Drosophila melanogaster: one gene and its partner. The protein of the gene in region 2 interacts with the protein of the main gene of each other region in a pairwise test. Each region holds a gene or a part of one and is shown on either strand. Other genes may lie near its edges.

The links.
Region 1: the proteins of Hez (region 2) and SmB interact in a two-hybrid assay, tested with the Drosophila melanogaster proteins (one study listed by BioGRID).

What each region holds. Positions count from the first base shown.
Region 1 is NT_033779.5:10,424,655-10,428,385, reverse strand, and holds SmB (small ribonucleoprotein particle protein SmB), read left to right. Parts: upstream 1-1,758; 5' UTR 1,759-1,889; coding exon 1,890-1,892; intron 1,893-2,261; coding exon 2,262-2,858; 3' UTR 2,859-2,903; downstream 2,904-3,731. Other genes in the region: KdelR (KDEL receptor), read right to left, coding at 577-1,215; Wdfy2 (WD repeat and FYVE domain containing 2), read right to left, coding at 3,114-3,394, 3,456-3,652, 3,716-3,731. UniProt on the Drosophila melanogaster protein: Plays a role in pre-mRNA splicing as a core component of the spliceosomal U1, U2, U4 and U5 small nuclear ribonucleoproteins (snRNPs), the building blocks of the spliceosome. Involved in germline establishment and development.
Region 2 is NT_037436.4:9,892,662-9,896,938, forward strand, and holds Hez (hezron), read right to left. Parts: upstream 2,083-4,277; 5' UTR 2,010-2,082; coding exon 1,929-2,009; intron 1,872-1,928; coding exon 1,683-1,871; intron 1,622-1,682; coding exon 1,331-1,621; 3' UTR 1,120-1,330; coding exon of another isoform or gene 1,048-1,119; intron 994-1,047; coding exon of another isoform or gene 857-993; intron 804-856; coding exon of another isoform or gene 659-803; 3' UTR 527-658; downstream 1-526. Other genes in the region: CG6709 (uncharacterized protein), read right to left, coding at 659-803, 857-993, 1,048-1,119; CG6707 (uncharacterized protein), read right to left, coding at 3,099-3,215, 3,297-3,461, 3,518-3,727, 3,793-3,974. UniProt on the Drosophila melanogaster protein: May have an accessory function in the survival motor neuron (SMN) complex.

The DNA of each region.
Region 1 (3,731 bases), on a different chromosome or scaffold from region 2:
GAATATTATGTGTATTATATGTTGACATCGCTCATCATTTACTTTACTATTAGCCACACAATAAGACTTAACTTTACTCGGATTTTTAGGATACAGTCGACTTAAGAGCTATTTAATGCATAACTTTAAATTCTTAATTAAACAAAGAAATCTATGACCTCTTCTGTGATACTATTGCGAATCAGATAAGCCTCCGCGCAAAAGAGAAAACATTTGTTTCGATTTTGTCAATTAACGTTATCTCTTACTGGAGTAATGATTTTTTTTTTTAATATTTTTGGATTCTAAAATTTGTGAGTGCAGTTCGGAAAACGGAGATTAATACATTTGTTACATTTTCAATGTACGATGTCGGTATTGCATAGTTTATAGTGTACTTTCGATTTTCGGTTTATTTCTCATTAAATAATTACAACTTAGGCGCTCCCCTCGATTATGTATCTTTTGTATAATATGAACGAAATACGCGTTGTCAAACGGGCCGTGGATCGCTCGCTTGTTTACTCTGACGTCGATTGATGATGTGTGCCGACAAAACACAAATGTCCCACATCTATGCACTTATCCATCATCCGCTTATGCCGGCAGCTGGAGCTTCTTGCCCTTAAGAACTTTGGTAATGTATAAGTAGAAGAAGTCGCAGTACAAGACGGTCTGGACAACTCCGGCGAAGATCGCGATAAGGTCGTAGTGCGACTCGACCATGTACCGGTAGACCCAGTTGAGCAAGTAGAGTGCACGGTACGATCCCAGGGCGAAGAGGTAGTGGCTGGTGATGGACTCGGCCTCGCCGGTTCTGCTCACTAGGAACAGCTGCGGCAGAATGGCCACCGATTCCAAATAGATCGAGAATGTCCACAGCACTTCCATCACGGTAAACTCATGATTGATCACCAGCGAGAGCAGGGCGCACGGCACCAGCAGGAATTCGATGCGGAACGAATCGTGATTGTGGTCATAGGTGGCCTTAAACTTCACGTACATCAAATACACGGTGGCACCGGACGTGGCCAGGAACAACACCTTCATCACCGAGTTGTACAGGCTCACGTAGGTGGTGAACAGATCCAGGTAGCGCGTCAGATAGACCACGGCGAACAGGATCTGCGACTTGCCCGATATTCCGGCGCACGAGCGGGTCTTCCATATCTTCAGCAGCAGTATTATGATGGCAAACACATGCGACAGATCCCCAGCAAAGCGAAAGATATTCATCGTGATCTAATCCGCCGACTTGGCTACTTGGCTGCCCGGTTGGCTGTTTGATTGTTCTACTTCCTTTCGCTGCGGCTGCGTCACGGAACGCACGCCTATATGAAAATGGGAGTGTATACTATAGCAATAATGGCGGCATTCAGTGTTTCAACAGCTGCATACGTTACCAAAATGACTTTTCGCCTAATTTGCCAACGAGTAGAGATGTGAGGGCTTTGCCGCTTCGGAAAAAAACTTGTCAGAATGTCGGCATAAACAATGACGTGGCTGATGAATAAGAATAAGTTTGATAACATGGCCACTGCCTATCGATATCGATAAGTGCCGCCACATGATTTTTTTAATGAAAATTCGACCATCTCTAACGAAAAAAATTGAGAAAAAACATACTGATTCAAATTTTTTCTTTTTTCGTTTTTTATCATAAGATTTAAAAAAAATTTAATTTTTTTCTCTTCTTTTGCTAGGGATAGTCGAATGTTTGTTTAAAAAATCATGTGGATTATCAATAAAAAATTTATATTCGATAGGCTCGATTGAAAGACACCAGAAAATGCTGACCGCCGCACACGCCACTCGATTTATTCTTCATGCCTATCGAAAAAAGCCGTGGTGAGGTTCCGGCATCTGTATTTTATTTACAAGCGATAGAATTAACATAGAAATCAAATAAAATGGTAAGTAAAAACACTGTTTTAAGCATCTGACTGCAATGGTTAAGTTTTGTTTAGTTGTATTAATTCATAGATTCTTACTTTCGCGGTTGCGATTTCGTATTTACATAGGCATACATACATACAAACATGCATGCGAATAAATAAAACAATTTGTTTTGGCTAATTAACTATTTTATATTTGTTTAAAATTATGATTTTTAGTGATCTTCGATATTACGCTGAGATTTGCTATTTCAAACTCTGTGGTTTATTAAAATTTTTATAAATACCGGCTTTTTTAAAGGGTCGAAATGGTTTACAAAAGATGGCGCGACTTTTATGCATGCTATTGTATTTCACAATTAAATCCTTTGAATTCCTTTATTTCAGACGATCGGCAAGAACAACAAAATGATTCAGCACCTGAATTATCGGGTGCGAATCGTGCTGCAGGACTCGCGTACCTTCATCGGTACCTTCAAAGCCTTCGACAAACACATGAACTTGATCCTCGGCGACTGCGAGGAGTTCCGGAAGATTCGCTCGAAGAATTCCAAGGTGCCCGAGCGCGAGGAGAAGCGCGTGCTGGGCTTTGTATTGCTGCGCGGCGAGAACATAGTTTCACTGACGGTGGAGGGACCACCGCCGCCAGAGGAGGGCCTGCCCCGAGTTCCCATTCCGGGAGCAGCTCCTGGTCCGGGAATCGGTCGCGTGGCCGGACGCGGAATGCCTATCAACTTGTCCGCCGTGCCAGCGGGTCTCCAGGGTCCCGTGAGAGGTGTGGGCGGACCCGCCCAACAGCACATGGCTCCGATGGGACGAGGAGTGCCACGAGCACCGATGATGGGTGCACCGCCACCGGGCATGATTCCCGGCGGCATGCCCTCGATGCCAGGAAACATGGGACGCGGTGCTCCGCCACCGATGCGCGGACCGCCGCCCAGCATGATCCGTGGAGCACCACCACCGGGCAGGGGTGGCTATTAAGTATAAAGTACAATCTAATAAAAACTCATTTAGAAAACACCACTTAATCGATGGATTCGTGTATTTATGTGTTGAATGTAAGCATACGTACATACAATGATTATTGCTTTACATCAATTATATGAGAACCTAAGCAGCAGGGACTGGATTTGGTCGTTGCCAGCCACATCGTTCGTTAATTGGGTGTTCCAGTTAAGACCGAAACGCCTCGTGAATGATTATACCTTTGGTACGTGCGTGTGCGTACAGGATGTTTTATGCCCAGATGTTGGAGAGATCCCAGATCTTGATGAGCCTGTCCTGGCCCACTGTCAACAGGCGCTTTCTGTCCTCGTCCAGGTCCATGTAGACGATCGAATGCTTGGCGTCATTGAATGAAGCCAGCGAGGGGCGCTCGACTGTCTGAAGTTGTTTGTAGCACGGATCACAGGTACGCACATCAAACTCGAAGCCCATTATGGGTATGTTAATGCGATTGGTGGAACAGTTGTCGCACACGGCTTTGCCGCAGTGGCGACAATGATGCTGTCGTATTCCTGACAGTCAGAAATTACTTGTAAAACAAAGAGTAACTCAAGTGTAAGCTATTTATCTCACCCAGCTGCTTTTGATCCATCATTGAGCGGAAGTTCCAGAAGAAGGGCCTGGAGCAAAGCTGACAGTTGTTGGTATCCACCCAGCCAGGAACCTCTTTCCGCATTGCATTCATTTCCCAAAAAACCACTACTGAATCTTCGCCACAGCTTATCAGTTGTTGCGTGTGATTCGCGTACGACAGGGCGGAAACTTTGTTGCTACATAATCAGAAGTGCCGATTACTATCTTATTTTATGAATATTATTTAAGATTGGAGATACCTATGTCCCTGCAGCT
Region 2 (4,277 bases):
GCTGCGCAACTGGAGGGATGACTAAGAGCAAGCATCAATAGCAAATCCACTCCATGCACCTCGTCAAGAGCCGGAAATTTACTAGTACAAACAGTGCATTATTACCTTACAATCGCTATGAGACGCTCGGAAAGCCATTAGAACGCATCGACAATATTTATTAGATATACGGAATGAATAAGCATGTATTTTTGTAACATCGTTAGCTCCGAGCAGTCCACATATTTGCCCAGGTGCTAGAAATAAGTCCAGCCAAACTCTGTTACCCAAACAAACGTTGTTATTATTATCAGGAAAGTAACGCGAAGCGAACAAGCCAACCAACTCATCGAATATTTATAAGCTTAAGCAGAATTTCAGAATATCAGTCAATTTATTGAATCACATCAAAAAATGTAATACGCATATATTTTGTATTTAGTTTTCAGATCAGTAATCTCAAAACATACCTTAATTAGGCACCCTCTATGTCAAAATAAGTGTTTAACTAACTGAAATTAACCAATCGGGTTTAGAGGCTCTTTTTGTTGGATGCTTTTATATTTTACTATAATTTTTGTGAATTAATCAAAGTTACTCTTGTATGCAATTGTTACTATTAATAATTTGTTGTCCGACTTTTTGTATGCATATAAATAAAATGCAGTGATGATTCAATCTACTTGACGACTATAACTACATCAGCACCATTCGGGACGCCAGCATCGATCATTATTTGCTTCATTTCATCTATAGCCAGATTGTTATCGGATGCCAAGTTATTTAGGACCTCGAGAAAGTCTTCGTACTCCAAACGCCATTTCCTGAAACATGTATTTGATTAAGAATGATATGTAGATTTGATGTAGTTACTCACTTGTATCGCATGTATATTAAACCGGTCTGAGTTCGAGTTATGGGATTGGGCATGAGCTTGGCCTGCTCTAGCCAGGCGTCCAACTGCGAGAGGAGTATGCTGTCAAAGTACTCGTTCTCGATGTCGGTGGGTATGACCTGGCATCATTTAGATGAAAATTACTCTTCAATTAACCGGGTCATTCATCATACCTGGAAGTTGGAATACACCAAGAACAGGCTGTCCAGCGTGTGCTTCTTTGGTTTATCTTCATCATCGGCCATCGTGTATTATGTGTGTTGGGTGTTGTGGTGTAGTGTATTAAATCGAATTTGTACAAACGAGAATGGTTTCCCCTGGCAGATAAAGAGCAGTATTCTGTGTGGGTGTCATGGCTATATGTATGTGTATTTTGAATTGTTTTGTTGATAAACAAAACGTACAGAGAATCGGATGCTATCTAGACAACTGTTGCCATGGGCACGGGCCATCGTTCTAGAATTGTTTACTGCAAAAGTTTTGAACGACCTCTTGGACGCATATCGCCAGCTTGGGATTCCAATCGAGGTATCGGATATTCTCCGTGGCATACGGCGCATCGATGACCACCTGACGGAGTATATTGATCGCCACTTGGTCGCCTTTGTTCTGCCAGATGATAGCGGGATCACCGAATCGCTTGACTAACAGTCTGAACAGAGCTTGACCAAAGGGCGAGGCATTGGGATGATAGCTCCGGCAGGAGAGCGTACGATGTTCGGTTGCGTATCGGTATCGTTCTCGGATCTGCAATTGCAAATGGTTGAATGGGGTTTCTTTTAAATATCTATATAGAGAGTGCTTCTACCATGGGCAAATCAATCGGTTCTGGCTGTTGAACTTCAGCCGGCGGAATTGCTTCCTTTACTATTTCAATGTCCATGCACAGGGATAGGTTCACAATGGTCACATTGCAAGTGGTCTGTTCGTCGCCACCGCCATTGCTTGATGGACACTTCATTATCAGCATTTTCACGCCCAGATCGAAGGCCACAACCTGGGAAATTGAAAGCATTACATAATCATAAAAATAATAAATAATATTTAGTTTTACCTCGCCCGAAATGTTGTCGCCAAAACAAGTCTTGCAGCGCACAATAGAGCCCACAGTAAAGCAAGGAGCCAATGATGACATCTTGGCCAAGGAACTTAAAAACTTTAAAAATGTAATCGAAATCGAAAATCCCAGCCGATGTCCGATGTCAAGTTCAAGGCACTCTATTCTACTTTCATAGCCTTGTCATTTTGTCGCCAAAAAGTTGGTGGTGCTTGTGGTTTTATTTCTTTTTATTTACAGTGTATGTATGCTAATTTATAATGTACTAAATATAAATGTTGTTGTATATATATATATATATTTCAAAAGTAAACCGTTCCTTTTAATCATATATATATATGCAATTTCGCAGTTTAGCAGTTGCTGTCTAAATTAATTTTCTTTATATCTGCATGAGCGTTTGCTTGTTCTCTGTTGTTCAAGAAATGTTGCTTTGTTTATTTGCATTATAATTATGTATTTATGGTATTGTATATGCGCGTATGTGTATGTACCTTCATTAGCACTATTAGCATACCCTTCAAATTGTTTCTAACGCCAGGCAACAAAACGCTTTCCTCCGCTTTGGCGAGAACTGAGAAAAAGTGCATTGGTTAAATTTTAGGCAACACAAAACTCAAAAGCGTATCAACGAATACGTAATGTATGAATACCGAAATATCTTGCAGGACAGGCACGAACGGATAACAAATCGGACACTTAAACAACGAAACTGTACAATCTTTAAAATGGATCCTGACGATTCTAAAAATGAGATGCACTGTGGATTGATCGGTCGCTGGTCTAATAACTAATGACTGCCAACACAGATCGGGGTTTTCCTTTTTTACTTTTAGCACTTGAATGGTAGCTGCACGGCGACCCTTGAAATATTCGCTTTTAGTATAGTGTTTAGTTAGTTACGGCCTTAATATCCTAATTATGCTCTTCAACGGGGAGACCTTCTTTCGTAAATTTAGCTAGGTTTGCTATTAGTTTTGCTCGAAACGAAGAATTTTTGTATGTAGCTGAACTGCTGGAGAAATGTTCATATGTTCCGTCTGCAAATTGGCTGCTTGTGTTTAGTTTTAAATTTAATATCAAAAGGAATGATATATATGAATAATATATATATATAAAAATAAAACAATGCACTTTCTTCCTTGCTACTGGCCCCGTGCTTTAGCTTTACATTGGCCCATCGATGGCGCTCACTTTAAGGCGGAAATAGTAGGCGGACCTGGCCAGCATGCAACCCGAAATCACGAACAGCGCCACGTAGAGGAAGTACATGCCACCATGATCCTGGAAAAATGCAAAAGGAAACACACATATGGGTTTAGAAAATCACATACTTCAGCTTGATTTTAAATTGATTTGGCTTACCGAAGCAATCGAGTATGTGCCGATAGTTACAGCGATGCCTGTGATGAGGAACACCAGCGCCACGATGGCGAACATCACGGCGCGGCTGTTGGCAAAGCGCGAGCCCACCGATGAGACCTTCCTGCAGTGTGGACACCGGGCCAAGGCGTTGTGATACGTGTTGAACTGTAAGAGCAAGCGTTACAAGACTCCTGCTGCTGTGATTTGGATTAATAACTCACCAAAAACGTGTCCGAACAGTGGCCACAAGTGACGCGGCACATGCCCGGCATGGTTGGCACGGGCGGGGTGACGGGACTTGGGGCCAGGTTGATGATCCTCTTGCAATTGGGCCTTGGACAAGCGATTCGCTGCGACGAGCTCTTGCAGATTAACAAACAGTTGCATGGGCAGCGAACATACTTCTTGCCCGCTGGAGCGTTCCGAATGGGCTGTTGATAGCCAAAAGCGTATTAAGTTACAATTGGATTCAAAGAATCTGCTTAGAATTACTCACAGTAGCCTCATTGCAGTGGGTGCACTTGACCACGTGCTGCTCCCGCTTCGTGGTGATGTCAATCATGTGTTGACATACCCGACAGGTGACCATCGGGACGCCTCCGGTGTTGGTACTCTGCTGATACGGCGGCGGCAGCTCATCGGGTCCAATGCAAGGCACTGCGGTCGGTGCTCCATTGCCTAAAATTCCATTGCAAAGTATTATTAACTACTTATAATATTGTTAAGACCCATGCCCTTCAAAGGCGAGACCTTTGGTGTAGAATAAATACATCTCGCCAGCAGAGTTCGCTCAACCACACTGCTCATCTGGCGGTGATTGGCTCATGGAGGGAGTGAGAACTGCATTTTCTGATAGTGTGCAGTGTGTGGCTCTGGGAAGCTGCGATAAACCAAATGGGTCAATGTTTTGGCGTTATGAATGCAGCTTTCTCGTACAAGCATTAAACTAGTGCAACTAGACCGCAGTTGTGGTTCTCGTCT